Linked DNA regions of Notamacropus eugenii. The protein of the gene in region 2 interacts with the protein of the main gene of each other region in a pairwise test. Links are inferred from orthologs where the notes say so. Each region holds a gene or a part of one and is shown on either strand. Other genes may lie near its edges. The genes, in order: NCOA5, KHDRBS2, PRR3 and CIRBP.

Region 1 (7,647 bases), on a different chromosome or scaffold from region 2:
CCTTTTTAAAGGTAAATGGATTTCAAGATACTTCTAACTACTACAAAACTATTAAAGAACAACAAAAAATTCTGTAGTTTTTTTTTAACTCAGTGTGAACTTTCCCTGAGTACACACAAGAAACTATAAAGGAACACACTAATGTGATGTCAAGGCAACGTACGCATACTATTTTAGGAGTCTTGAGTCTATTCCTACCTGTCGCAGGGAAAAACACAAATGGAATTTATATCAGGACCAAAAGGCATCCTTTATTATTTGGATTAAAAAACCATGAGTACTAGCAACAAGAGTTATTATAGATAGTTGATAATTATAATTAATTATAAATTTCTCTTACAAAACCTACATTCTCTCTTAAAACTTTTTTTGTAAAGTGACACAATTTTCTTAACATAAGTAATTTTAAAGAATAAATTTCCTGTGTCAATTCTACTTTTAACATTTATCTTTACTCTTTCCTTGATAAGAGATAGTTTCCTTTACAGTTTTTAAAAACTTGCATTGCACTGGCCTAGGTCGGAAGGCATTAATTAAACTTTATAGAAAGCAATGCTTTAAAAGGCAGGTTAAGAGAAATATCTTTAGAGTTTAGTAGAATTTTGAGTGGGGGACAATTATTTCTTTAATGTAAATAAACATAGTTAACCTATTCAATTTCTCTACTTAGCAAAGGAGGGAAAAAATGACAATATGAAAGCATTTATTTCTGGTGGTAATAGAAGTATCTGAAAAACAGCAGGCATGCTGGCATTATGTATTCTGCTGTCATTCTGTTTTGTGCTGCCCTATTTGTTACTTTTTCAGAAAATGCTTTGATCTCTTCATAGATACTAATAATGGACCTAAAGACTTCTTTTGGGAGGGAGAGAAAAGGAGGTCATTATTGTTTTAAAAGTCAATAGTTCACTTAAATTTCATTCCAAAGATTTTAGGTACAGTTACACTTATTTCACAGGACAAACTTTTTACTCACACTTGTGTGATACTGTCACTTAAAACCAGTGAGAAGGTAAAAATTCTCTTCATGAATGAATCACGTGAATTTTATATTTTGGGATGGTTATTTCACTTTTTCACACTAAACCTCAAACACAAGTAGGCAACATTAAGTAGAAGGAAACAAATATTAAACATTCTCTCCCAAGACTTCCTTTTCTTAAAAGTAAAATTTTATTCAAATAATCTTATTTACTAGATGGGTCTCAGAAATGCACTGCCACCTGCAGGTCAATAATGTAGAGGTAATAGTGATGATTTTTTTGAAAACGGAAAACTCAACCATCCAATCTTTCTCGGTGGGAAAGGTAAATCATAATTCTCAAATCCCAGCCCAAAAATGACTCCTGCCACAAAGTTCTGAAACTGACTCTTGAATGAGATCTGAGTCTGATCTCCCCGCACATGAGGAAGGTGTTTGAGAAACTTGGACTCATACAGTTTCTCTATATCAAAACCATATCATTACCTCAAAAGAATACCGAATAAAAGAAATCCCTAGAATAACCCAAGGGTTGACTACATCCACAATTCCCCTTTAAATAACTTAAACAGTGCCAGTCAAAAATACATAGGAAAATGAACAGATTTTAGATGACCTCTGACATCCCTTTAAGTTCTAACAACAGTCTATGGCCTATGAAAAAGCTAGACATATTAAAACAGCTTCGACAAGTAGGTTTTTAAAAGCATGCAACACTGAACATCGTTTCTGGGAGGGTCGTTTCCATGAGAAGTAACAAACTCGGCTTTGGACTTCACATTTAAGAACGTGGCAAACTTCAAAGAAAATCTCAAGGACGAGAGAAAGAGAGGGAAAGGGGCGATGCCGAAGCTAGGCTTGGGGAAGGAGCCATCCTGTCGCCACGCGCGATGTTTCATCCGAGTAGAGCGAGGACTGAGCGCCGGGGGTTTCCGCGCGTCAGGCTTCACGCCACGGGCTGACCGAGGCACCAAGTGTCATCCAAGAGCTCTTCCCGTCAGCCGTCGTACGAGGGTCTGTTTGTCTTTTAAAAACCCAGCAGGCTGCTCTCGAAGGAACAGAGCAAACACCTGAAGGGCACGCTCCGGAGACGGTCCTTCGGCCACAAGAGTGGTGGCTAACGAGCCGCTTAACGACAACGCTGCACGCACGAGAAATCGTGGGGCGCTAGGCACCGGGCGCTGCGCCCCGGGGCAGACTACGGCACGCGGCACGCGGCGAGACCAAAGGCAACCGCTTCGGGCCGAGCCGGAGCCAGAGGCGGGGCGGCGGGGAAGGGGTAATCAATCCTCCAACTCCAGGGAAGCTCTGCGTCTCCGAAGCTGGGAGGCGCCCCATCGTTCTCCGGCATACAGTCCCGCCCAGGGACGAATCGGGGACGGCCAAAAGGCCAGAGGGAGGACGGCTCGCGGAGGAGCGCGCAGGCGGCGGAGGGACACCTCAGGCCTCGGCCCGGCGCAGCGCGCGCCACGCCGCCGGGGGGCGGGGGAGGGGTGGGAGACGAGCCTGGAGGGGCGCGCGAGGCGACGCGAAGGGAAGAAGAGGACAGCGCGCGGGCGCGCACGAGGCCAATGAGCACCGAGGACCGAAGACCGAAGGGGGGGGGCCGGGTTTGGAGCGAGCGGGGGAGGGGAGGCGCGCGCCGAACGGGCTCCTTTCTCCCTTCACCTCACCCTCCCCTCCCAGCCATGCCATCCGATTAGCCGGTACCGCGTAGACCCCAGCTGACAGCACCTGGTTTCCGCCCCATCCCCGTCACTCACCGCTACCAGAGCCGCGGGCCTTCCCCGGCCGTTTTTTTTCCTCAAGGGGCAGCCACCGCCACCACTGCTGCCGTCACACACGCCTAGGCCGCTGGGGCCTCCTCCTTCGTTCTCGTAGCCGTCCGTCGTAGGACAAAGGCGCCACCAACCGACCGGCGCGGGCACGAGAGAATGGCGGCCCGGGCGGAAAGTGGGGTGGGAGGCGGACGGGCAGGGGGAGGGGGACGAAGGCCCGGGGGCCGCGCACGTAACGGATGCGCGGCAGTGTCGCGAGAGAACGCCGGTTTACGGCAGGTCGAGTCGGAAGCACCGACGGCTGCCGACCCCGCCCCCTCCCTGTCTATAAATGGGGTGGGGGGGTGGCACCGGTCAGTTGGGCGGTTGAGAGTAGCAGTTGCCAGTTCTGGAACGTCCCTGGGTGACAGTTTCTTGGGGCATTAGGGAATTGAGTTAGCACGCTCCCTTAGCTTAGAGACGCCACGTCGCTTCTCACGTTTCCCAGCCGGTTCCCTCTACCGAGCACCAATGTCAGACTCTTCTTTTTTGCATTTGGTCCTGGGTTCAAACCCTAGCTTCGATTTACTACTCCCCGTGTGACCTTGTGAAATTCACTGCCCCTCGCTTGGCTCAGTTTATTCCGAAGTGAGGTTGTTGAATGTTCCCAGTCTTTACTAATACTGTTCCATGAGGAAAACCTCAAAGACTAGGATAGGATCCGAGATTGATAGCGAAGGATGGGGGGATAGAACAAAAACTAGCTTAAACCCCGAGGTCATACTGGGTGCCCCCAGAACCAAGGTCCATTAGGTTACACATCCAGTTCTTTTCTGCTGCATACAGTGTCTACACTGTTTGCTGGTCTTCAGGTGTCAGGACATCTGAGTTACAATCCTGACTTGCTAAATCCCTGTGTGATCTAGGAAAGTCACTTATCTTCTCTGAAACTCCATTTCTCTATATGTAAAATAAGTGGGGTTGGATTAGGTGCTTTCTAAAGTCCCTTGAAGCTCTAAATCTACTTTCTTCTCTCCAATCATCTGCTCCATTAGAGCTAATAGGACTTGAGAAGTCATCTAGTGTAACACTACAGGAACAGGTTCTTCTTCCTGATCCTACTCCATAACATGCTGACCCTGTCCACAAAATACAGTTTCTGAGTCAGCTCTGCTGTTTTACCACTTACTCCTTGCATAAGAAAAAGCATTAGATTTGTTATCAGATTTGAAACTAACTGCCACTAATATGTATAACCTTGAATAAATCACTTCTCCCCAGCCTCCATTTCCTCTTTTGTGTGGAGATGTTGAGGTTAGGGTGCTGTACCCCAAAATACCAACAGGCTGGGTCCTGCTGGAATCAATTCAACACAAGCCTTCTTAAAGCCGAAGAAAAACAAAGTTTATTAAAGATTCGCCATACTGGGTTGACTCTTAAAGAGCCTAAACATTTGTAATACTTGTATTCACAAGTGGGCCAGATAGAATCTCAGCTAGACAGAGTCTGAGCTGGATTGAATCTGAATGCCTTCATGGAGGTGAGATGGAACTTAAATATAGAAAAAGACTGAGGGAAGAATCCAGGTACTGCCAACTAGTCTGGGGCCCCTGGAATGGTCTTGATGGGGCAGTATAGGAATGACCAGTACCCTGGGGTGAATACAGATAGACTGTAGGGAGGATCTTGATGGAAGTGGCTGGCAATGGGATCAAAGGGAGGAATATTAAAAGAATGCTAAATAGAAGATAGGAAGTATCTGGCCTGGGAGAAATGGAAGGTGAATCCAAGGAGGCCCCCCCCCCCAACCCCCAAGGCCAGTCTTTCCAGGGCCCTTCAGATAAATGTGATAAAAGCCCTCCCGATCCAAAGGGAAAAGGTCTTGGCTTGGGCTTCTATTCCATCATTCCCCCCCTTAAACAGATTAGACCCAAATTCTTTTGTGGTAAGGGGCGAAGGTCTCAGCTTTTAAAACTGCTTCCTGCTGGCAAGGGGCGTAAAGCTGTCCCTGCCTCTCTGGGTCCTGTTCAAGGGGTCAGACTTCAGAACCTGGGCATGCCAGGTCCAGCGGGCTGGAGACCTTTGATTCAGTCGGAGGTTGGTATATAGCCTGGGCTGTCATCTGGAAGTTGATGGCTTGTACTCTGGAAAAGACAGATCTGGCAAGGAATTTAAGAAAAGAGTAAGAATAGGGGCAAGTATAGAAAGAAGCCAGGATTCTCGTGAAGAAGATGATTTGGGGGCACTAAGTTATTATAGTCTGAGTTTGGGTGCCCCAAGGATCAGAATAGTTCCACATTAACCTCCCAGTTGAGAGGGGATCTTTAAGAGATCAATAAGAGTATTGTAACAAAAGGAGCTGTGGCACTGTGCCTTAAACCTACTACGAGAGTAGGGGAAGGATGCAGTCAAAGGTGCAAGTAGGAAATGTTCCCTTGGAACAGCTGGTACAGGGGCCAATGTAAAGTTCTGGATACACGTGTAAGCAAGGTGTTGAGATGGAAAGAGTAGCACATAAAGGGGTGGCCAACATACAGGGTGGCATAGACTTCTGAGGAAGTTGTATTGGGGAGGGGAACTTTTGCAAAAGTTGACCTCCCCCCTGCCTAATGAGTTTCCCAGTTTGACCAAGGAGTTATCCTTCCACTTTCAGAGGCCAAGTGTATGTCAAATGTCAGGGAGGAGGAGAAAAAGGGTTAACATTATCATTGCCAATTCAAAAGGAAACAGTTTCACAAGAGAGAAAGAAGCAAAAAGAAAAAAATATTTTCCCTGGAGGGTATTAAAGAAGTCTATGGCAAGGCCAAAACATAGAAGGGCATGTTTGATAGGGGAGTTTTTTTTCTGTCAGATATCCCCTTTCTTTCCAGATTGCTCCATGGGCATATAGAACAAGGAAAACATAATTTGAGTACATAAAAACATCAACTGGCCTAGGGTCAGGTACTAAGGAATGGGTTAAGACTCCCAAAGCCTGTCCTCATCAACATACAAAGTGAAAGGTTTTTCTAGATTGGGTAGGGCTAGTGCTGGGGTGATGGTAATGTGGATAGAAACAGTGCCCTAAGAGTTAAAATAATACTGATTGACTTTGTGAAGCCCTTGGTGCCCTAAATTCTCCCCTTACCACAACTTCCCCTTATCCTGGACCATATAATTCCTCGTCTCTACCCCTCATCCTAGGGGGAACATATAATTCCTTGTCCCCACCCCTCATCCTGGGGAATGGGATTTCCTTATCTTGTGTCATTCATAGTCCTCACCCTGTGCCTTTATCTTGTAAGACTTACCCTAGATCTCTAACCCCCATTAGGAAACCCTAAAATCATCCTGTATAAGCCTGGTCCTTTTCCTATGTCATTGCCTTTGTTTAACACCTTGTTAAATCTCAGGCCTGCTGCTTTTGCATTAATAAAGCTCCCAGTGGCTACAGAGAAGGTCTAAGTGAATTCATTCACGTTTTGAACCAGCTCTCTCATCTCTCTGTCTCTTCAACAGTGGGCTTGTACCCCATTAGAGAAAGGTAAGGTTGGAGTAGATGAACTGTAAATTCTGTGATCCTGTAAGACATCCTGAATGCAAAGGAAATGAATTCCAACCTAAACATCATTTGTTTACATTCTTTGAGTGAGGTAGGAAGGAGAAGGTGTTTGGGAACGCCTTCTTTTGGATCTTGAAATACCTTTAGAGATTTTCTAGTCTAATTGTCTTATTTGACAGATGATGAAGCTGAGGCCCAGAGAGGTCTGCAAGTAACCCGAAGAAATGAGATTTGACTCCAAATATTCTCCACCAAAAATCACAATCCCTCTCTATGACAAAACTGGAAGAGATTAATACATACATTCGCAGAATGCCAGGGTTGGAAGGAACTGTAGAACACAGGGCACAGAATGTTAGAATTGGATGGAGAATTTAGAGGTCATTTAGTATAAGCCCATCTAGTCTTTGCTTTTGCTCAAGCGTATCACCTATAACTGTAATGTACTTCCTCATATTGGACTCTCTTAGCTCATTTCAAAGCTATTGTCTACCTCTTGAAATTACTTTGTGTTACTTGGTATATACTTTGTATTTACTTATATAGGTACATGTTATATTCCCCAGGAGGATGTAAGTTCTTTGAGAAAAGGCATCACATATTTAACTTTGTATCCCAAGTGTCCTCAATGTCCAGCAGTTGGTGGTTTTTGGTTTTTTTTGGCATGTAACAGGACTTAATTAAATTGAACTCTCTCTTTGCACAGATGATGAAATTGATGTACTTTAAGATTAATGTGAGTTGTGCATGGTCATGCAGCCTTATATATATTATTGTATTATGAGTTCCTCTGTATTGTCTGCTTTAAGTGTGATCCTTCTTATAGAAAGATTTCTGGCCTTTGTGTTTTGAATAGCACCCAGCAAATTAAAAGATGAGATGGGTTCTCTGATACTCTCTGGAAAAGCTGTGGGCCATAACAAAATCATACCGATGGGACTTGAAGGAGTGCAGTAGCCTGCCTGGGGCAGAAGAGGAAGACTTGTGGAATTTATCTTAGAAAAAGAAAGAAGGACATAAGGTTGAAGAAGACTGCTCTCTAGAGCTGGGTTTGCCTGAGGGGTCAGAATGAAAGATCTAAGATTGCTTTCTACTGATCTCCTGCTGCTCATTTTGACTTCTCCTAAAGATAGACCAGAAGGTCTGGGACTACAGAATATAAATTTTTAAAAAATCATTTGGGACACATCTAACACCATGGATGATTAAAAATCGAAGAGGTCAAATGCTAGAGATAAGTGCTTGCAGAAGGCTGTTTGATCTTGAGCCCTGGATAAATGTAGTCTGAAGGATTCCTATGATAACTGGAAATGTTCTATACTGACCAAAAGTGCCCCCCAAAAGTCTAGTGAGTTCACATACAGTAA
Region 2 (7,638 bases):
GCCATTACACAATCATAAACTATATGAAACAACTACCTGAGAATGCTAGTTAGTTTCTATTACAAACTTTAAGCAATCATCTTCCCCTGTCCCCCCCACAGGGACCTGGATCCAGGGAAAGCATTGTGAGAAAAAAAATCTTCTGTATCATTTTTATTGCTCTCACTGTTATGTCTGCCAGCAAGACAATGAAATAAACACTGAAGCTTGCTTTCCTGCTCACTGAAAATTTTTGTCAGTGCTTTTTTTCAATGAGAAGATAGAATTATTTTATGTGCACCACTTTTACTAGTAACTTTGTCACAATCCTGAATTAAAACTCTTCTGAAGAGGATTGAAACCATCTTCAAAATATTTGGTAGATGGTGTTGTATATAGGATTATATGAGGTATATAGTGTGAAGTCTACATTAACATTCCCTACAGATGCCAAAGATAGCTCACTTTAGTCCTTTGTAATATCCATTTACATTCGTCCCTAGGTAAACTCAGAGTATACCACAAAGTTATTCATTCATTTTACATATATGTATATGTAAATGTAAATGTATGTCATATACATCGACAGAAAGTTGAGAAACCCAAAAGAAATCATATTCTACCCATTTCCTCTACAATATGAATTCAAATCGAGCCTCACTCTTTTGTTTCTTTCTGTAGGTAATTTTCCCCAATGCTTCCCCCCCCCCCTCCTCTTTTAGAAAAGCAGTGGATGCCTCCCCCTGCTGGAAAAATATTAAATTACATGCTGAAATAGTCTGTGTCCTCAATAGAAGATTCCTAATAAAGTACACCAAGTATTTTGATTGTCTTACCAGGCACAGTAGAGCTATCAGCTATCTTTAGTGTTTCTCTTACAAACTGTCAAACTCAATTGATTTTTTAAACTATTTATTAATCATAAAATCCATTGTTCCAAAGAGAACTGTTAATTAGTATACCAGATTAAAACTGAATTTATAAACTAAAGACAACAATAACAACAAATGGACAAAACAGGGACAGATAAGCCAATTCTATATTTCAAAGTGTACTCCTTTTCAGGGGTATGATTATGAGTTTTTTCATGACTTTATTTGCTGTCTTGAAAAAAATTTAAATTTCTTTAATTGTACTTTCTCATACTCTTAAATATGTTTTTCTTATTTGTTCCTGATTTTTTTTTTAAGGAGAGGAAAAGTGGACAAAAATAACTGACTTTTCAACTTTCATTTGTTCAATCTTGCATTCAGTACCCAGCACTGTGGAAATTATGAATGCAGTCTTCCCTCTCCCAAATTCTCACAGATTAAGTTCTTCAGATAATTACTTAAATCACGAATACTGTTGCAAAACTGTCTGTAGCTATTTTCTTATATAACTAAAGAATAAAGAAGGGAAATAGTTGCATTTTTTACTTTTGAAAGCACAAGTATTAATAAAACTTTCATCTATGTGTTTATAAAGTAAATAAGTGCATTGAAAACCAGTCTTAATTGTGTATGAAATAGTAGCATGCATATTTTTTCTATATGAACTATCCATACAAACAATATAAGCATATTTTCATGTTTCATTAAAATACCCAACTTTTGACTTATTTTAGCATACACTAGCCCACAGCAACCCAAGCTACATAACTGCATTCTGGCTAATTTGATAATGAGGAAATTAATAATTGATGAGCACTCCTCCCCACTGTAGTTTCTTTAAAAAAAAATGTATTGATCTCTGCTAGTCTTAATTGCTGTTTTTATTTTAAAGTTGTAGTTGAAGAGCATTATTTGAACCTGCATTTATCCATTTCTTTAATCCTAACAATATACAAGAGCCTTCCTTAAGGAAGAGTCCTCGTGCATCCCTAGGAATGTAATGTCTTTTACGTTAGAGGTTCACAAAAGAAAACACATACTTTGTAAAACAGCTGTTCAATTGGCGAAAGCGTGTCTGGGTACATCTTGCCCAGCGCCTAATCATCACCCTTGAAATAGATTTACCAGCCATCCCATCTTATGCTTCCCCACATGTAAATACATACATACGGGTGGTCTCATCTGACTTACTTAGTAACATGACTTAGATAGGCTATGGTAAAGACTGTCTGATTGGCTTAAATGGCATCAGATCCCTTCCAAAATGCTGCGGAAGCGCTAGTCGGTAGCGACAAGGTTCGTTAAGGATCAGGCGTGGAATCCTACTGGGAACATAAATGACTTCCCAACTGATCATCCATCTATCTCCCTCATTCCCCAAGTGTCTTGTTGTGCAGACCGCCTTTCCACTTTCAGCTTCTTTTTCTGACAATCCTTGAACCCTTATCAGAATCCTCCTTACCCATTCTCCTGACAGGTCACAATCTCGGTAGCTTTTCTCTCATGGGCTGATTCTCAATTTAAAATGCAAACGCAGAGGAAGAAGAAGAGGGCGGGGAAACATCTGCAGACTCCCAAGCCCTGACTCTTATCTTCCTAGGATGCTAGGTAAGCCAGAGCTTGGGCGGCTAGGAGGAGACAGGTCTGCTTCCCCAACTTCACTTCCCTAACACACTAGCCAGGCACGAGCCGGCCAGTCAGTCGATATCTACCCATCACGCGCCAGACCAGTCTTACCTACCTTCTGCCAGGAGGCGCGTTGCATGCACGAAGGATGGATCCAAGCTATCTTTCTCTGCCATCAGCTCAGGCAGATATTTCTCCTGTTCCATAGCGGGCACTCCGGCGCGGCGGTCAGCGCGCAAAAGCTAAAAAGGCGCTGCTCAAATGGCAGTGGCGCCTGATGCCTCTCCCCTCCTCCTTCTCCCTTTCCTCCTCCTCCTCGTCCTCCCTCTCCGCCGCCGCCTCCTCCACGGCAGCTGCCGCCGCTACTGCCACCGCAGCCGCCTCCTAGCCTTTGGCGCGGAGCTCTCACTGACCCATGCAGCTGTGGGGCTGGCTGTGCACTACCTTCTCCCGCCGCCGCCACCGCCGCCGCCACCGCCGCCGCCGCCGCTGCCCCGCGCAGACACAGACCCCTCTAGCTCTCCCCTCGCTCTCTTTCTGAGCTCAGTCTAATTGCAGCGGCCTTAACTAGAGAGGCGGGAGGAAGGGGTCCCCCCACCCCACCTCTTCGGACTGCTCATTGGCCACCGCGCCCGGGGAGGCGGAGAACCCAAAGAAGGTTCTGGTGTCGCGATTGGGCTGATAGCTTAGTCTGACCGCCTGACGGGCAGACCAGAGCAGGAGCTGGCGGCGGAGGGAGTCCAGCAGTGCAGAGCAAAAGCAGCCTTCATACGACCACGACCTGCCCTGCCTACTGAGCTTGAGCATTTGTATTAGGAGAGTTCTGGGTATCGTCCGGTGTTGGCAGAAAAGATTCTGGCCCTACCTAGATAGGATATAGGGACCAAAATCCGGACAGGGGGAAAAAAAGAGGTTTAGTGATGAAAAGTGGAAAAGGTCGGGATGGAGTATGCACTACGGCTAGAGTAAGTCTCTCAAGGGCTGATTCTACTTCATCAGCGTCTCTAAGAGCACAAGTGTCTTCTATAGTAAATGCCTTTCTGAACCGTGAAATAATTAAAATACAGGAGTGTCTCTACCCCCCAAACACACACACATAATCTCAAAGACTAAAGACATAAGGACATTGGCTTGAGAAAGGCATTATTTAGATAACGCAGGAACTTCACTGAAGAAAAAAAAAGATAAATCACCTCCAATGATTTAAGGGTATTAATATGTGACAATCCTCTAGAGTATAGTAAATAGAGCAGAGTTTTGGTTTCTTTTTTTTTTCTTTCCTGCCCGACTTCACTTAATCTAGAAGCTAAATTCAAGTACTTAGCTAAACAGTTCAGGAAGAAATTCAAAAAGAAAATCAGGAAAGGGACACTGAACCAGGTAGTTCTTATGCTTGCCTTTCCCTTCTTCTAAGAGAACATAGCATTTGACCATAGACCAACGCTGTTCCAGTGACTATCGCACTATATTCCAGAGCTAAGAGGTTTCAGATCTCAGGTGTCATCTGTACTGCTGGAATAGTGGTACACAAAGCACGAGTTCCATTTACACAAGAGCCTAAGCAATATGGAATCTTCATGCAAAAAATTATTCTATACCTTTAAATCATTATTTAATGATCCAGAGTGTGTTATTGGGGTGATTTCCCTCCCAGAAATGTTTCCCTTTAATTCGCATAATCTTCCTGGACCCACTTCCTCATCTGTAAAATGGAGACGTAATGGAAAATTCTTCTCAGATTATCTGTGAGGATCAATTGAGATAATTATTTAAAGGGATACATAAATGCAAGTTATTATTATTTCATTTTTCAGGCTAACTTAACAGCAAAGTACATGTGCTTAGAATTGAATTGCTTCACTTTTAAATTAGTATTTGTAATATGTTGTTCCTTTTGGATTTCAAATCCCTTTTGTTCCATGTACAATAACAAATAATAATACTTTACCATTATATAACTTGAAAAAACCCATACTCCCAAAATATATATTCTCTCTTCATAATAATTATAGTATATTTATTTTATAACATTAAAACTGCTGGAACACCTTCAAATTCATGTTCTTCTCATCATCACAGACTTATGAAGTAGATAGAGTAGATATGACTTCTGCCTTTTTATAGGAGAGGAAAATGATGTAGATAGTATTCATTAGTCACTTAACTGGGTAAAACTGGGACTGTGCATTTATAACTAGAAGGCTTATGGATCAACCGCCTCAATTTAAAGATTTGAATTTGTAAATTGAGTCTCAGAGAGCTTCAGTGACAGACATAAAACCAAACATTTAGAAAGTGACAGACTCAAGTCCAGGTCCTATAACTCCTTCCTCTAGTGCTCTTCCACAAAACCAAATCCACTGACTCCCAGATCTCTATACCACACTTCCTCTCCTCATCCATTTCTAAATCCAATTCTTCTTGAATCTTTGGTCACCTCTTTGCAACTTTTAGCTTCTATATGTTATTGTAATTTAGGAATGAGTTCAGACAGAAGTACTGCCTTGAGAGACTAATCATGCTCAGCAGCTTGAATAGATTTTAGTCCCTAGAAAGTTCCTTTGCACTGTTTTCTGTCCATGGTCCTGACCCTGCAGCAAATTACAAATAGAGCAATTCTTACTTGATAGACAGTTGTTGGCAGTTACTGCAGTAGCTGAGAAGAGTTAGGTGAGAAACAGAGCTAACATTTATTAAAAGTATGGGATGGGGAATTATAAATTGGAATAAATAGCCATTCTTATTGGATAATGATTGCTTTCACATTTTGTTATATAGTCTACAAGAGACCAATGGTATGCACCCATCAGAGAGGTACACAGAAACCGAATTTCATGAATTAAAATGATGCAGATATTTTACTATATTATTCTGTCTTACAATTACATTATATATTCACAACATTCTCTTCCATGATTAAGTGTACATTTAGAAGATACAACAGTTTAGCTGTGGATGTGTTGACATAATATAACACTTCAAGAATCTTGATTTCAGCAGTGTGAGTATTCCCTAGAATAATGCAGATTGCAACCCTTATGCTCCTTCATAGACATTCTTCATGAATTGCTGTGGCCAAAAGCATCACTTTGTGACTAACCATCTGCTAATGAACATCGATGCATTTAATTAGGCTGATCCTTCAATGACAAACACAATTTGTGTTAGATTCCATTAAAATGAAACATGAAACCCTAAGTCACACCCATGTCATACTGAAATATCAGCATAGGAACATATATTTTTTATCATGAAAATGTCTTAGATGTCACCAACTTAATCTACTGATTTTATTTAGGAAGTACTGATCACCATAAAAATGTCCAGTAATGTTTTCTTAAAGAATATCAAAAAATTTTTTAAAGGTTTGAAAACATTATATCCTATATCAAACATTGAAAATTACACAGAATATGTCAATAAACATAAAATTATAACTCCCCATATAAAATAATAGTAATGAAACAAATCATGGTATATGAGTACATTGCAATATTATCAGACTATAAAAAATAACTAATATTGTAGTTTCGTGATAAATGACCCTGATGAAGGCCCTCATAACCTCATGCCTGGATTGTATTGCCACAATCTGCTTCTTGATATTTTTGCCTCAAGTTTCTCCCAACTCCAACACATTTGCCACTAAATGATTTTCTTAAAGCACAGGTTTAATCATGTTACTTCTATTTTTCCCCATTGAATAAATTCCTGGGGCTTTGTGTTTCCTCTAGGATTGAACAAAAATTCCTCTCTTAGACTTTTAAATCCCTCCTATATTATTTATCCCTCTACTATATTTCCAGGATTTTTACACATTACTCCCTTCAAAGCATTCTTTGCTGAACTTATGCAGGCTTCTTTGGTTGTCCTCAAACTTTAATTCCCAAATCTATGAATTATCACTAGTTGTATCTCATGCCTGGAATCCTCTTCCTTCTGCTCTGTACTTCCTGGGTGTCTTGTTTTGCTTCAAGCTTCAAATCAACCATACCTTCTTCAAGAAGATTTTTTTCTACTCTCCCTTAATCCCAGTGTTTTCCATCTATGCTTATTTTTAATTCATTTTTATAAGCCTTGATTATACATATCTGTTCTCATCCTTACATTAGATCGTGAGCTCCTTGAAGGCAAGAACTTGTCTACCCTTCTGTTTCTTAGCCAGTACCATGTGGTTTTGATAATAGCTGCTTTAAAGCAAAATTTGAGATCTGGTAGTGCTAGGCTACATTCTCTAGCATTTCTTTTCATTAGTCCCTTTGATATTCTGGACTTTTTGTTTTTCCAGATGAATTTTGATATTATTTTTGATATTATTTTTTCCAGCTCTAGAAAATAATTTTCTGATAGTTTAATTGGTATGGCACTAAATTAGTAAATTAATTTAAGTAGAATTGTCATTTTATTATATTAGCTCGACCTACCCATGAGCAACTGATGTTTTTCCACTTACTTAAATCTGACTTTATTTCTGCAAAAAGTGGTTTGTAATTGTGTTCATATAGTTTCTGGGTTTGTTTTGGTAGGTAAACTCCCAAGTATTTTATAGTATCTACCCTAGCTTTGAATGGGATTTCTCTTTCTATCTCTTGCTGCTGTACTTTGTTGCTAATATATAGGAATGCAGAAGATTTGTGCGGGTTTATTTTGTAACCTGCAACTTTGCCAAAGTTGTTTATTATTTCAAGTAGTTTTTTATTTGAATCCCTGGGATTCTCTAAGTATATCATCATATCATCTGCAAAGAGTGATAACTTAGTTTCTTCTTTGCCTATTTTTATTCTTTCAATTTCTTTATCTTGTCTAATTGCTACAGCTAACATTTCTAGTACCATATTAAATAATAGTGGTGATAATGGACATCCTTGTTTCACCCCTGATCTTCTTGGAAATGCATCTAGCTTATCCCCATTGCATATAATGCTTGCTGAAGGTTTTAGGTAGATACTGTTTATTATTTTATGGAAAGTTCCCTCTATTCCTGTGTTCTCCAGTGTTTTTTAATAGGAATGGGTGTTGTATTTTGTCAAAAGCTTTTTCTATATCTATTGAGATAATCATGTGATTTCTCTTAGGTTTGTTGATGATATGATCAAAAATGCTAATAGTTTTCCTGATTTTGAACTAGTCCTGCATTCCTGGTATGAATCTTACCTGATCA
Region 3 (7,236 bases), about 43 Mb from region 2:
AATGGGCTTCCAGGATAGAAAAGGTCCACTGGAGCCTGACTGGTGGAAGGCACAGTTTTACAATGGAGGTCCATTCACTCCTGGGTGGTAGAAGGCACAAAGATCCTCATAGCGACAGTGGCCCTTTGAGAAATGTCTGCAGACAGGGCGGTTGGATTTATCTGTGGAAGTGAGAAAAAGGCAGTGTAAGACTTTGGGAAGACAAAAACTAGGACACCTCTGGGATCCTGAAGGGAAACAGTTTAATAACTGCTATAGTCTTCAGCATCCTAGGATAATGTTTTGAGAGAGGAAAATTGAGAGGTACCTTCAAGGTAAAGACAGAAGGGCTTCTGGGATTTGTACTTCTGGATGTAATTATGTGCTACTAACAGGAATAAAATATACAGGGTGATGGCACTAACCTGTTCTATCACCTTCCTGGACTCCATCCTTGAATTGAGGGGCGTTCTTGGGCCAGGGGATGTTCTTAGATGGATGGTGACTATTGCCCCCTCCAAGGTTTCTCCATCCATTGGGAGGACCATTCCTGGCATGGTCCCCATAGCCTGTTCCCCACCTAGGTTCTGGATCCTCATAGGCCCAACGGCTATGTGGGTATGGTCTAGGCCTGGGTCCTGGGCCCCCTCTCATTGGGCATCCTCCCCAGAAAGGAAGTGGAAGGCTCAGGAGTGGGGGAATCACTGGTCCCCTTAAACTCTGAGGGCCTCTGTGGAAGCCTAAAGAAAGACAATGAAAGATAATCAATTGAATCCAGGAAAACCCAGAAATTATTTTTCTTCTTGAGTCTCATTCCCCACTTCTCCCAATCCCCCAAACCTCTTTCCTACAGGAAATGCTGAAGTGCCTTGCATGTAATATGCACTTAATGTGTTAATCCAAATCAATCTAGACACCTGTCCTTTTAGACCCTTTCCACTCACCTGGATCAGGGCCACCAAACTTCCCATTGGCTATGGGTGGAGGGCCCAGGAGGCTGGGTGGACCTAAGAGAACAGGAAGAAATAGGTTAAGCAAAACGTAGCAAGGTCTAACTTAGTAAAGTCCAGTTTACACAACAACTCAGTACTATTTTTACTGAGTTCTCCTTTCTTTGTGCTACTACACCTACAACTCAATAGCACATGGTTATACAAACAGTTCAAATCTTATTTTCCCTCTACTACTAGCAAGCACTTAAGGGCCTACTACTATCTATGTGAAAGGAATTATCCATAGTATAAAGACTAGATGAAAAAGTCTCCGCCCTTCAGATGTTTACTTTCTGTGGATACATACAGAATCAAAATGATGGCCTGAAGCAAAATGTATCATGCTTTAGTAGAATCCAAAAAAGCAAAATCTGTTATCAAGATGTCGAAAAAGAAACGAGAAAAACCAAAGGTACCAAATGGCACAGCCTTCAATCAAAGGAAGGCTGACAATAAAGCAAAGAGACCTCAACATGTTTTCCTTAGTATGAGTCTCCTTTTGTTATCATCCATTAGCCAAAATTTAAGAAATGCTTTTCATGCCACAGGAACTATGGATACCAAACACATGGGGAGTAGTAGCTAGGGAAGGAAGTTTTTGATTTAGACAGTCAGTAAGACTGTCAAGCCCAAAGCAGCCCTGATGACACTGACTGAGTTACTGGACAAGTACCCCAAACAAGATGTGAAGGGGAGAGAGACAGACAAAATGACAGGTGGCAAACCTGTGACAAAATTCTTCCTCCTAGGCCCTCGATTAATGGGGTGTGGGGCCACCAGAGCTGAAGAAGACGACTCACCCTCCAAAGTAAGCAGATCTACCCAAGTCCCAAAACGAACCCTTCCTTATAAATCTCTGGCCTTCCTGGGAATTCCTAGCAACCTTCTCCTAACTCTCATCTAATTTGATGGACTTCTCTCTTCGCCATCCCCTAGTCCTCATTTCAGTTGGGAGAGGTCTAGAAACATTTGCATTGATATGAAGTGTGGGAAATCATTTAGCCCACTCCCTACACAATCCAACACAGATGAGGCAAATGAGACCTTTCTGCACAAATTTGCAGGTAGTCAACAGCACGGGTTAGAACTCCCGACTCCTCATACAAAGCTCATTCATTACTAGCTCTTCTCATTCCCATCATCTTGAACTACCAAACTTTATTTTATTCTGGATCTGTCTCACCCTTGGGGCTGACAAAGAGGACCAGAAGAGACAATGGGGGAAGGGTAGGAAAACTGGCTTTTACAAATTCTCTCCCAATTACAATGGGTAGGAGTGGGAAGGCGAGGGAGAAAGAGGATGCAGTTGCCCGGGCAAACTGCTTTTATTCGTCTACGTCAGAGGCTCTGGGCAACATCTTTAGGCCGGCGCTCTCATGGACTTTTCCCGGCCGATGCTCCGGACGCACCACTCCCCTATTCCCCCAAGGCACGTGCATCGGCCTCCCCCTCCCTTCCTCCCGTTCGCGGGCGCGCCACAGCACCCGGGTCGGCGCATGTGCGCGCTTATACTTCTAGCTCTCCCTGCCCTGCAGTCCTTAAAAAAGGAAGGGGAATTCTGCTCTCGCCAAGCCTCGCCTCGCGCTATTCTACGGGAAGATGCAACGGGTTCTTTCCCTTTCGGGCAGCACTAATCTCGCCTTCTCCCTCCACGCCCGAGGGATCTTTATTTGTCTCGTGCCCCTGTGCCAGGCCTTCCTCAGGCGCATGCAACTCTCCCTTACCAGCGGGGCTCCCACTCTCCTCATCCCCACTCTCCTCGGGGTCCGGTGGCCGCTGCTTCCCCCTCTTGGGCATCACAGCCAGCGTAATAGCAACGATCAGAGTCGGGCCGGTGGGAGCAGGGGGCGGTATATGGAGGGAGAGAGAATCCGATTATTTCCGCTTCCGGCAGACCCATCCAGAAGCGGCGAGTGCGCAGGCGCGTGCCTTTCCCACCGTGTAGCGTTCCAATGTAAGCTCACACTCCAACCCTCCCTTCCTCCTCACCCCCTTCCCCCCTCCTACCTAAGGGAAAAAAAAACCGACATCACTTGGAGGCGTAGCCTAGAGTGGAGAGGACCGCGGTCCAGAGCGTTGGGACAGGGGGGAGAAAGAAGTCAAGCAGCGTGGTAACCTCGGTAACCTCCCACAGCCCACGCCGCCGCTTCATGACCTCTGACCTCCCCCCCAGCATCCTTAGACCATCTCAGTCTCAGTGCCTCTTAATTACAACCTTTTAAACATCGCGATTATGTGGCCTACTCCCACCCAAGTTTTGGGGTTTTTTTTAACTTCCACTAGGTGCGGTGTCTCGTGGCTCCTCTGAACATGACCTCTGACCTTCTCTGAAGGGATCTCCAGGGCAACCTAGTACTTCATCATTCTTTCCTCTCTCCCCTCCCCCCCTTTCCTTTCAGCTTTGTTCAGCCTCCTTGCTCGTCCAGGTCACTTTAGTTTAGCTTTATGCTCTTCCCCACCTCACAAGTGGTAGAGTCCATTCACCCCACCAGGTGAGTGGGTAGAGTCTCTCCAGGAACGAAAGGTAAGGATGGTTCCCTCGCCCCCTTTCTCCGAATGGGAATTGGTATCGCCCGTGACGAAGTCAGTACCGTCGGTCGGCGCTCCGGCGCGGCTCCCTCTTCCACACCCCCAAGAACCGCCCCCCTCCCTCCCCGGGACTCCTGAGGGACTGGCGTGTGGCCGGCACGTCGCGCGTCTCTCTGTCCTTGCACTTTCTTCAGCCTCACACACACTCTTGTACTACTGGAGGGAAGTGATTGAACTTCCCCACCCAAATTACATCGGTGGCCCTTTCTGTGTTCCCCTACCCACAACGCACTCCCCCCTCCCCGAGGAGGAGAGACTTGGTCTGACCCTCCGCGTGACGTCACGTCGGAGCCCCGCCCCCAAGGGTCCCGGGCCCTACGCGGCTGGGGTAGCCCGGGGCGGGGGGGGTGTCGGTAGAAGCGAAACGACGGCGGCTGGAGCCCGCAGAGGGCTAGAGATCCACGGGAGCCAGGCCGGGCCATGCCGAGGAAGAAGCCTTTCAGCGTGAAGCAGAAGAAGAAACAGCTGCAGGACAAGCGCGAGAGGAAACGAGGTAAGGGAGGGAGGGAGCGGAGGGGGGCGGGGCCTGAGTCTCCTGTACATCTGGAGACAGGGATGAACTCTACATCTGGGGCCAGGGTGGAAGGTGGCGGGCAAAGCCAGCCGTTTCCCATCGAAAGGAGAAAGAAGAAAGAACCTCCCACCTCCCCCTCATCTGGAAGAGGAGGGAGTGGACGGAGAGCCCTTGTCCGAATCTGGAGAAGAGGAGGATCCCTTTAGTTGGAAGAAGAGGGGGCCCCGTATCTGACGAAATGGATGCTGGAGATGGGAAAGAACTGGCTTCTCCCTTCTGGTCCTGGGAGGCTTCTGTTCTGGGTGTGGAGAAGGACAGAGAAACTGGGTCCAGAGGCAGAACACTTGGGTCGATGTGGGGGCAGAAGCTGGGTTACCAGGGGAGAGCTGGACGAGTCAGACGCGGGCGCCCGTGTCTGAGAGCTGGGCGTCATGTGCCTGCCTGCAGGGCTGCAGGATGGGTTACGCTCCAGCTCCAACAGCCGCAGCGGGAGCCGGGAGCGGAGGGAGGACCAGACGGACACCTCTGATGGAGAATCTGTGACCCAGCAGATCCGGCGTCTCAACCAGCAGCCAACCCACGGCTCTGGCCTTCGCTTTGACCCCAATAGGTAAGGGTGGGGAACGCGGCACTTGGGATTTTCCCTCATTGTCTTTCTTGGCAGTAAAGGAGGGTAGCGCGTAGGTGGAGGCCAGTGAAGTAGAAGGCTCAAGATAAACTGAGATAAAAACTCTGTAGGAAGGACTTTGGATTCCTTAGTTATCCTGAGGCAATTTGTTCGGATTTATTGGGAGAGGGTGGAGAAGAAAGATTTTATTTGTAGAAAAGGGGACTTTGGAGACAAGCAGAAGATTAAGATACCGGGATCCTTACCGAGAAAACATGCCTATAATTTTGAAGGGGAATCCGGAAAATGATGCCTTGTGGACACTCTGTACTAAGTTGAATACTTGGGTCATCATCTCCCCAGATACCGATTACACTTTGAAAGAGAAAGCCGGGAAGAGGTGGAACGGAGAAAGAGGGCTGCCCGAGAACAAGTGCTGAAACCAGTCAGTGAGAAGTCTCTGGAGCTTGACATTGGAGACATCTACCATCCAGGCTCCAGTAAGGATTGAGATGCAGGGGAGTAGAAGATGGGAGAAGGGAGACAGCTGGCCAAAAGTGGTGCTGAGAGCACCCATGCTTCCCTTCTTCTTTACTTTCTCAGACCTAGATTTTCCCCGTCGGCCCCCTTGGAACTATGAGATGTCCAGGGAGCAATTGATGAGCCAGGAGGAACGGAGCTTCCAAGAGTATCTGGGGAAGATCCATGGGTCCTATACCTCTGAGCAGCTCAGCTACTTTGAACACAATCTGGAGGTGAGATAAGAGCAGGGTATTATATCATCCACCTGAAGAGTTGGACTGTCCCTGAAGAAGGGGGAGTGACACATGGACCTTTGTGGAGTTGCTGGTGCATGGTTGCAAATTACCACTGATCTAGCAGCATAAGGGTCAGATTTTCCTCACCTATTTTCTTTTAGACCTGGCGACAGTTGTGGAGGGTGCTAGAGATGTCTGATATTGTCCTCCTCATCACAGACATACGCCATCCAGTAAGTGAGAGAAACCAAGCAAATGGGGCAATGGGTTGGTGAAAATTAAAAGGCAAGAGTTGGGGGGAGGGGTTAGGAAAAGATTTTTTCCTCACTTTTTAAACCTGAATTCCATAAGACAGGACTCTAGTCTTTTTCTATTTAACAGCTACTTTCTCAGCCAGTCCAACTACCTTTTGTAGCTTTGAAGGGTGGAACAAATTCAAGTGCTTCTCTAGGAACCAGCTAAGTAACTCTTGGGGACCCTCTGTTCACATCCCTTCCTTCCTTCCCAACACTTTCTCCCCTGCTCTGACTTTTCAGACTGCTGTGAATTAAACAGCAGCACTTCTCCAGTTGTAACTTCTTTCCAGTTTAAGAGTAAGGGCTTATTTATAGGTTTCTCTTTTGGTAAGAAATAAGAACTTTTCTATCCTCCATCCTGCCTCTGCTGTTTATCCAGTTTACCTGGTCTTCCTGTTTCACTTTTCCTATCCTCAGATGTCTCTCTCTTATTCTCTGTTGCTGACAAACTAGCCTTTCCTCCCCCAGAATACCATGTATTTCTTTCTCTCAAGTGTTCTTTTGGGATTTCTTTTGTTCTTTGCATATCTTTTACTTATTTGGTTTTATACTATCTTACAACTACAGAAGTTGATACCTGTAAAATCATTCCTAGTAGATCAGAGAGAGAGGAATTGAAGGTTCCTAGGTAACTTATTCTCATTCCTACTTCTTCATACCCTCTTTCCCCCATCCCCCGCAGGTCATCAACTTTCCTCCAGCCCTTTATGAGTATGTGACAGGGGAACTAGGGCTGTCACTGATACTAGTGCTGAACAAAGTAGACCTGGCTCCCCCAGCTCTTGCCATAGCCTGGAAGTATCACTTTCGCCTGCACTACCCCCGGCTCCACCTTGTTCTTTTCACATCTTTCCCTCGGGACCCCCAAACCCCACAGGATCCAAAGACTGGTGAGTGAAATTTGGAAAACATAGGGATATATGGGAGAACATATGAAGCCCTCTGAGGGACACAGTTACAGGGGCTTTATGGAATGGAGGTAGCAAACAGAGGTCAAGGATGATGGGTGGAGCAGGAGGAAGAGACAGGATCTGGCCCTCACTGTCCCTTCACCTCTCCCCTTCTATTTTCAGTCTTGAAGAAGCGCCGGAAACAAACAAGGGGCTGGACTCATGCCCTGGGACCAGAGCAGTTGCTAAGAGCTTGTGAGACCATTACTGCAGGAAAAGGTCTGAGTGTATATTTGAGGAAAGGCCTGAAGAGGGTTGGGGAGGGTCTGGGGTTCTTCCTTTGCCTCTTACCAGAAGTCAGCCTGTCAGTTATGACGTTTTTAGGAGAATCAAGGGTACTAGCAAAACTGACTAGAATATCTTCCACTGTCCAAGGTATATGTGAGCAGGTGGGGCCCTTGGGAGTTTTTTTTTCCTCCAGCAAAATCTTCTTGGTTCCTTTTTCTTTTGAAGGAGACTGGATCTGTGACTTCATTACTATAGGAAACGCCTTGTGAAGGGCCTCCCTCTAACAATGCATATCTACAACTACTTTATAAGTTATTTGGTCT
Region 4 (7,403 bases), on a different chromosome or scaffold from region 2:
GGGAATATCAGGACACATTTTATAAAAAAAGCACACACAAGTAGATCTAGTTCACTTAAAACTAGGGTTCTCAATCCGGGATCTATGCCTAAATTCCTTTGGATTCATTCATTAGAATGTCACATCAAGGGCCCTTTCCTAGCTTTGATAAGGCAAAACAAAAAAAAAAAACCTCAGACCAGAACAGGGACTTTAAAAATAGGCAAAGTCTCCCAGGGCCTGGACAGAGTTCTCTCCCTTATAACACCCCGCCCAAAGCATGAAAGAGCACTGATAGATCTTACACTATAAGGTTAGAAAGAGCTTTTCAAGCAACAAACTCAATACTTTCATTTTACATATGGGAAAACTGATGCCCAGAAAAAATTAAGCAATTTGTCAAGGGTCATATACGTGCTAAAAAAAAGACAAAAACAAATGAGAATAAACTAAATGACCCTGGTTGTACCTTCTTGTTCCTAAGATGGTAGCTAGGATCCCATGAGAGATTAACATGGTATGGTGGGAAAAAAACAAAGAAATTAAAAATCAGGAGCCCATGGAAAGGTTTTACAGCCCAAAGAGGCCTCTGACATGCGTAATCTGGTTCCCGAAGTGCCTCCCCTAAAATCACCGAAGAGCCAGGACCCCAAATTCAGACTCTCCCCACACCATTCCAACCCCAAGGCTGACACTCGCTACCTTGGGGGCAAGTCCCTTCCTTCTGTGGGCCTGTTCTCTAGTAAAAAACATTAAGCCTGGGGTTAGGTGCTGTGCGCGGGACAGAGCCTTCTTTTTACATCTTTTACAGGAAGCCCCAGGACCACTTTGTAGGAGGCGTCAGGTCCGGAATTGACCAACTGACCTCGGGGTCGCTGCTTAGGGGCCGGGTGGGCGGGGCAGCCGGCAGGCCCGGGATGGCTTGGAGCGGCGGCCTTGGCACGCCGGGGCCCAGGCGCCCACCGCTGGGGCCGGGCCGGGTCTGGGAACGGGCCACTCCGGGGCCTAGCCCGCGGCCCAGATCAAGATGGCCGCCGACCACGTGGCCCGCAAGTCTCCCGGAGCGCCTGCCCCTGTCCTAAGCAGGAACTAATTCTTAGATGCCCCCCAGCCCGGCTTCCCCTTAAATCAGGGCCCCTCTCTCTCGTTCGCGGTGCAGTGCGCCCAACGCCTCCCTCCTCCAGCCCCCACTAGCGGCCGCCTCCTTCTGCGCATGCGTGAGGAGCCCCCGCCTCGCCTCCCTGCGCCATTCCATCCGGGCATCTCCGGCAGTCCCCGCCATTTCACTAAGCGGCCCGCCAAGATTCTCGGCCGCCATTTTGCGGCAAAGCCTCAGAGAACTCGCCTGCCCCGGCGGCCCCTGGGGACACCGCAACGGCAGCAGCCCCTTACTTCGGCTGTCGGCCGCCGCCACCGAACCCACCCTGACCTGGCGGGCCGACCCGTCCTGCCCACAGCCGTATCCCAGGGGGGCGTGCCGGTGCCTAGGCCCTTCTCCGCCCAGGCGCTGGGCCGCCCGTCTTCTCCTCCCTCTTGCCTTGATTCCCCTCCCCCCCAGACCCCGACCACCCCAGGCCCTGCCAGCTCCGCAGGCTCGACCAAGTGGCCGGGGGCGGGCTCCCTCACCGGTGTGTTGGATGGGGCGGGAAGGATAAGCGATATCAGCGGACAGACCAGAGCCACCTGAGCCTCCTAACGGGAAAATGAGCGGCGCGCCCAAGAGCTCAGCCTTATATACGCCGCCACGAAGCCACGCCCTCTAGCCCCACCCCCAGAGCCCAGAGGGCCAATCGAAGGGGACCAAAGCCGGACGCTGATTTATATTCATGAGCTTCGGCGAGCTCCCTCTCCCCCTTCCCGCCCCGCCCCGCTCCTCCGAGGATGTGTAAAGGGATTGGTGGGGACTTAGCCTGCCGCTCGTCCGCAGTCCCCCTCCCCTCCGGCTGAAGAGGCCTCTAACCCCAGGCTGCCGAAGAGCGGTGGGGGGGGGGGGCAGGAAAGGAATTGGAGGCGGGGCTAAAATCACGCCCCTTTCTGGGAGCTAGAGGCGGGGCTGACCCAGTTTGGCGCGCTCTCCCTCCGGCACTGCGGCGGCCGAACAAAGGAGCTGCTGGGAAAACGGAGGCCTCCCCTGCCATCTTGGAGGCCTGGGCCCCGCCCCCTCGCGGGGCCCCGCCCTCTCGGGAAAATCATCTCAGACGCCCCGCCCAGAGACGTCCGAGCTCCGCCCTCCGCGGCCCCCAGCCCTCACCACGGGAAATCACTGCTCCTCCATATCCCCACCCCTCCACCCCCTCCCGGAAAGCCCGCCCACGCTCGAGTGCTCCGGGGTTACGCCTCCCCCAACCTGCTAATTACTCCCACTCCCCCCGGGGGCTGCCCCGAGTCTGGCAACGCTCCGTGGCCCCAGGGGATCCCCTCCCCCAACCCAGCCAATCCGCCTCCTGGGCCGCGGCCCCACAATCACCCCCCTCCCCGTGCTCCCCTCCTCCCCCATCGGCCCGCACAGCCACCCCTATGCCCGTCAGTTACCGGTGACCCCGGTCCCCGCGCCAGGGGTCATCCAGGACCCTTCCCTCTTCTCCATCCCCACATCCACTCACTCACCGAACGCTCTCATTGGCTGCACCCCCTCCTGCCTCCAGCCCCCTTTCCACCCCTGCATCCCCCGCGCTCCGTACCGCGGGTGGGAGCCCCCCCCGCACACCCCGTGACTCTCGGGCCCCCCGGGAACGACTAAAGACGCCACTTTATCTACAGCGCTTCTCCATTACCTATTCGTCTGGCCCGTGATCCCCTCCCTGCCAGGTGGAAGCGATCAGCACCTGCGGATGACCCGCAGCCCTGGGGTTCCCTCTGCAGCACAGGCGGGGGCATCCGCGCGGGGACCGCCCCTCCCCCAGGGCTAATCCGGCCCGAGTGACCCTGAGCAAGTCCTGGGCACAGGGGGCGTGGCGACAGCAGCTGGGAATAAACGGAGATCACGTTTGTGCACGAAAGCGTTAAGGCTCCGTCTCAACTGTAGCCATTCCACGTTTGTACGTTGGCAACACGCACGTGCCCCCGAGTCAGGGAACGCTGTGCCCGAGCCCGGCCTCCGCCCGGGGATGCCCCGCTCCACCCGGCCCTGGCACGGCTTCTGGCTGCCTTCAGAATGCCACCTTCTGCCAGAAGCCCGCCCGGGCCTCCTCCGACCTAACCCACCTATACCTCGTTTGTACCTAGTCCCCAAATGGTCTCTCGCTCTTGAGGTCAGGACTGCCCCTTGCGCTGTGCCCTGGCACATAGTAGGAGCTTAATAAATCCTTGTTGACTTGGATGTCCAGGTAATAATGGTCAGGGCAGAGCTCTGTCACTTGCACCCTGGGCTCCAGAGTCCAAAGGTTGGGGGGTGCAGTGGGGGGCTGGAATAAAAAGAAGGGGGCGGTGGGAACATAAGGAAAGAGGAGAAGAAACTTTTGAAACACCATTCGTCCAAGTTTTATCTGTCGTGTAACAGAGTTCAGGTCTTAGTGATTACGTTACTTTCCAAATAAACACAAAATGCAAGTTAGAACCTATCAGTCAAGTCCACTAAGACCTTAGGAAGCAAGTGTTGGCGGGGGAGCATGCTTTGCACCGCTGGGAAGTCCAGCATGCATCCACAGGAACATGACTTGTGTACAATATGATACTATAAGGTTACATGATACAATGTTGCATCATCAAAATTTCAATGCAGGAAAGAACCCCACAAGTTTACAATACGTTATTAAATTTATGTGTTTTGGGAAGTGATGCCAATTTCAAAAAAAAAGTTAAAAGGTTAAAGAAAGTAAATTTTCAGGAGGGTGCTGAGTAATTTTTTTTGAAAAGTAGTAGGCCAAATACGTTTGGGAACCTCTGGAGTAGCTGTTAACCCGGGGGAAGGGGGGATCTTTATAGCAAATATTTCTAACAAAAGTCCAACACCTAAAAAATAGAGAGAATTGATACAATAGAAGAATAGGAACCGTTTCCCAGTAGTCAATTTTTTGTTTTGTCAGTTTTCAAATGACTAGGTAAAAGAATGTTCCCAATCATTAGTAAGTGAAATATAAATTATGATAACACTGAAGTCCCACCTCACACCTATCAGACTGGCAAAGAAAAATAGAAGATGGCAACTGATGGAGGGACTACCATAGGACAGGCACACTAATGCACTGTAGGTGAAGTTATGAGTGGGTCCAGTCATTCTGAAAAGCAATTTGGAACAATACCCCCAAAGTCCCTGAGCTACACATACTTTTTGACCAATGATACTACTGCTGCTACTAGGCCTGTACCCCAAAAAAGGGCAAAGTCAGAAAAAAGGACCAAAAATGTTTACATAAAAATATTTATAATAACAAAAAAAAATTGGAAATAAGACTACCCTTCAATTGTAGAATAGCTGTACAAATTGTGATTTAAGAAAGTAATGAAATATTATTAAACCATAAAAACAGTGATTTATATGGAGGACCTGGAGAAACTCAAGAAGATTTGTCTAGTGGGGGCCAGTCCCATACTCAGAGTGGTTATCACCAACCACTTGTACAAGAGAGGAGGGGATTAGTGGGTAGTTATAGAAATGCAAGAGAGGGGCAGGGGGAGACAAAACATTTAAACATAAGCAGAAAAAGCAAAAACAATTTCAGGAGATTAGACAGGATACCTTTGTTACTACATTTATTTAATTTAAAAACACTTTTTTTGGATGTTCATGATTTCAAACAAAATTTTCTCTTTTGGGATAATTTATTTTAATTTAAATTTTTTGTATTTCATTTCCAATTACATGTAAATATAATTCTTAACATTTGTTTTTTAAAATTTTAAGTTCCAAATTCTTTCTGTCCCTGCCATTTCTACCCCCCAGCTTGAGAAAGCAGGTGATTTGATACACATTATACATGTACAGATATGCAAAACATATTTCCATATTTCCTTTTCCATGTTGCGAAAGAAAACACAGACCAAAAAAACAAACAAACAAACACAAGAAAAATAAAGTTTTAAAAAAAGTATGTTTTGACCTGCATTGAGACTCAGTTCTTTCAGTGGAAGTATATAGCATTTTTCATCATAAATCCTTCAAAATTGTTTTGGATCCTTCCGTTTCTGACAATAGCTAAGTCATTCACAGGTGACCATTGTACAAGATTGCCATTGCTGTGTACAATGTTCTCGTACCGTAGCTTGGTTCTCTTGGATCAGTTCATATACGTCTTTCTAGGTTTTCCTGAAACCATTCTGTTTGTCATTTCTTATAGCACAATAGTATTCCATCTCAATCATATACCACAACTTGTTCAACAGTTCTCCAGTTGACGGGCATCCCCTCAATTTCCAATTCTTTGCCATGACAAAAAGAACTACTATAAATATTTTTGTACATAGAGGTTCTTTTACCTTTTTCTTTTTTTCTTTCATTTTTTCAAATCTCTTTGGGATACACACCTAGTAGTAGCATTGCTGAGTCAAAGATATGCACACATTAGGTGTAGTTTCAAATTGCTGTCCAGAATGGTTGGATCAGTTTACAACTCTACCAACAGTGAATTGATGTTCCAATTTTTCCATATCCCCTCCAACATTTGTCGTTTTCCTTTTCTGTCATATTAACCAATCTGAGAGGCGTGAGATGGTACTTCAGAGCTGGTTTAATTTGCATTTCTCTAATCAATAGTGATTTAGAGCATTTCTATATGACTGTAGATAGCTTTGATTTCTTCTTCTGAAGACTACCTGTTCACTCATGTCTTTTGACTCTTTGTCAGTTGGGGAGTGACTCATATTCTTATGGTTTGACTCAGTTCTGTATAGTTGAGAAATGAGGCCTTTATCATAGAAACTTGTTATAAAAAATTTGCTTTCCTTCTAATCTTGGCTGTATTGGATTTGTTTGTGAAAAACCTTTTTAATTTAAAATAATCAAAAGTATTCATTTTACTTCCTGCAATATTCTCTATCTCTGGTTTTGTCATAAATTCTTTCCTTATCCAAAGATGATAGGAAAACTATTCCATGGCCCCCTAATTTGCTTATATCATCATCCTTTATGTCTAAATCATGTACCCATGTTGACCTTTTCTTGGTAAACAGTGTGAGATGTTGGTTTATACCTAGTTTCTGCCAAACTACCTTTCCAGTTTTCCCAGCACTTTTTGTCAGATAGTGAGTTCTTGTCCCAAAAGCTTGGATCTTTGTGATTATCAAACGGTAGATTACAACGGTCATTCATTACTATACATTGTATATCTAATCTATTTCACGGATCTACCACTCTTATTTCTTAGCCAGTACCAGGTTGTTTTGATGATTACTACGCTAAGATATGACCTTCCTTCACATTTTAAAAAATTGATTTTCTTGATATTCATGATTTTTTGTTTTTCCAGATGAATTTTATTATTTTTTCTAGCTCCATAAAATAATTTTGTTAGTTTGATGTGGCAACAAATAAGCAAATTAATTTAGGTAGATTATAATTTTTATTATATTGGTTCAGCCTACTCATGAGCCATGAACATTTCTCCAGTTTTTTAAATCTGACCTTATTTTATTATATTCTATTATATAAATGATTATATATAAAATTGTATATTTTATTATGTAAGTGAAAAGTGCTTTGTAATTATGTTCATCTAGTTCCTGGGTTTGTCCTGGAAGGTAGACTCCCAAGTATTTTATATTGCCTATAGTTATTTTAAATGGAATCTCTCTTTCTGTGTCTTCCTGCTGGACTTCATTGGTAATATATAGAAATGTTGATTTCTGTGGGTTTATTTTGCTTTCTGCAACTTTGTGGAAGTCGTTAATTATTTTGACTAGTTTTTTAGTTGATTCTCTAGGATTCTCTAAGTATAACATCATATCATCTGCAAAGAGTGATCATTTTGTTTCCTCTTTGCCTATTCCAATTCCTTTCATTTATTTTTCTTTTTATTGTTATAGCTAGCATTTCTAATACAATACTAAATAATGATGGTGTTATTAAGCATCCTCGCTTCACTCCTGTTCTTCCTTCTAAATTATCCCTGTTACAGAAAACACTTACTGATGGTTTTAGATACACTACTTGTCATTTTAAGGAAAGGTCCATCTATTCCTATGCTTTCCAATGTTGGGTTTTTTCAACAGGAATGAGTAATGTATTTTGTCAAAAACTTTTTCAGCATTTATTGAAATAATCATATAATTTTTATTATTTTTGTTATTGATAGGATCAATTATCCTGATAGTTTTCCTAATATCAGACCAGCTCTGCATTCCTGATATAAATCTCACCTGGTCATATTATATGATCTTTGTAATATATTGCTGTAATAACTTTGCTAGTGTTTTATTTAAAATTTTTGCATCAATATTCATTAGGGAAATTAGTCCAGAGTTTTCCTTCTGTTTTTGCTGTTTCTGGT

What was found.
Region 1: the proteins of KHDRBS2 (region 2) and NCOA5 interact in a two-hybrid assay, tested with the Homo sapiens proteins (2 studies listed by BioGRID). The two-hybrid records come from large-scale screens. The link is inferred for Notamacropus eugenii from reciprocal best matches to the Homo sapiens genes KHDRBS2 and NCOA5.
Region 3: the proteins of KHDRBS2 (region 2) and PRR3 interact in binary tests that used the Homo sapiens proteins (3 or more experiments, as listed by UniProt). The two-hybrid records come from large-scale screens. The link is inferred for Notamacropus eugenii from reciprocal best matches to the Homo sapiens genes KHDRBS2 and PRR3.
Region 4: the proteins of KHDRBS2 (region 2) and CIRBP interact in binary tests that used the Homo sapiens proteins (3 or more experiments, as listed by UniProt). The two-hybrid records come from large-scale screens. The link is inferred for Notamacropus eugenii from reciprocal best matches to the Homo sapiens genes KHDRBS2 and CIRBP.

Annotation. Positions count from the first base shown.
Region 1 is NC_092872.1:475,659,539-475,667,185, forward strand, and holds the start of NCOA5 (nuclear receptor coactivator 5), read right to left. Parts: upstream 3,005-7,647; 5' UTR 2,746-3,004; intron 1-2,745. UniProt on the Homo sapiens protein: Nuclear receptor coregulator that can have both coactivator and corepressor functions.
Region 2 is NC_092873.1:127,770,856-127,778,493, forward strand, and holds the start of KHDRBS2 (KH domain-containing, RNA-binding, signal transduction-associated protein 2), read right to left. Parts: upstream 3,017-7,638; 5' UTR 2,684-3,016; coding exon 2,593-2,683; intron 1-2,592. UniProt on the Homo sapiens protein: RNA-binding protein that plays a role in the regulation of alternative splicing and influences mRNA splice site selection and exon inclusion. Binds both poly(A) and poly(U) homopolymers. Phosphorylation by PTK6 inhibits its RNA-binding ability.
Region 3 is NC_092873.1:84,447,404-84,454,639, reverse strand, and holds the start of PRR3 (proline-rich protein 3), read right to left. Parts: upstream 3,003-7,236; 5' UTR 2,769-3,002; coding exon 2,696-2,768; intron 987-2,695; coding exon 924-986; intron 720-923; coding exon 405-719; intron 162-404; coding exon 58-161; 3' UTR 1-57. Other genes in the region: GNL1 (guanine nucleotide-binding protein-like 1), read left to right, coding at 3,981-4,053, 4,522-4,684, 5,045-5,181, 5,285-5,436, 5,601-5,672, 6,418-6,625, 6,809-6,904.
Region 4 is NC_092875.1:62,241,905-62,249,307, reverse strand, and holds the start of CIRBP (cold-inducible RNA-binding protein), read right to left. Parts: upstream 3,020-7,403; 5' UTR 2,754-3,019; intron 1,832-2,753; exon of another isoform or gene 1,606-1,831; intron 1-1,605. UniProt on the Homo sapiens protein: Cold-inducible mRNA binding protein that plays a protective role in the genotoxic stress response by stabilizing transcripts of genes involved in cell survival. Acts as a translational activator.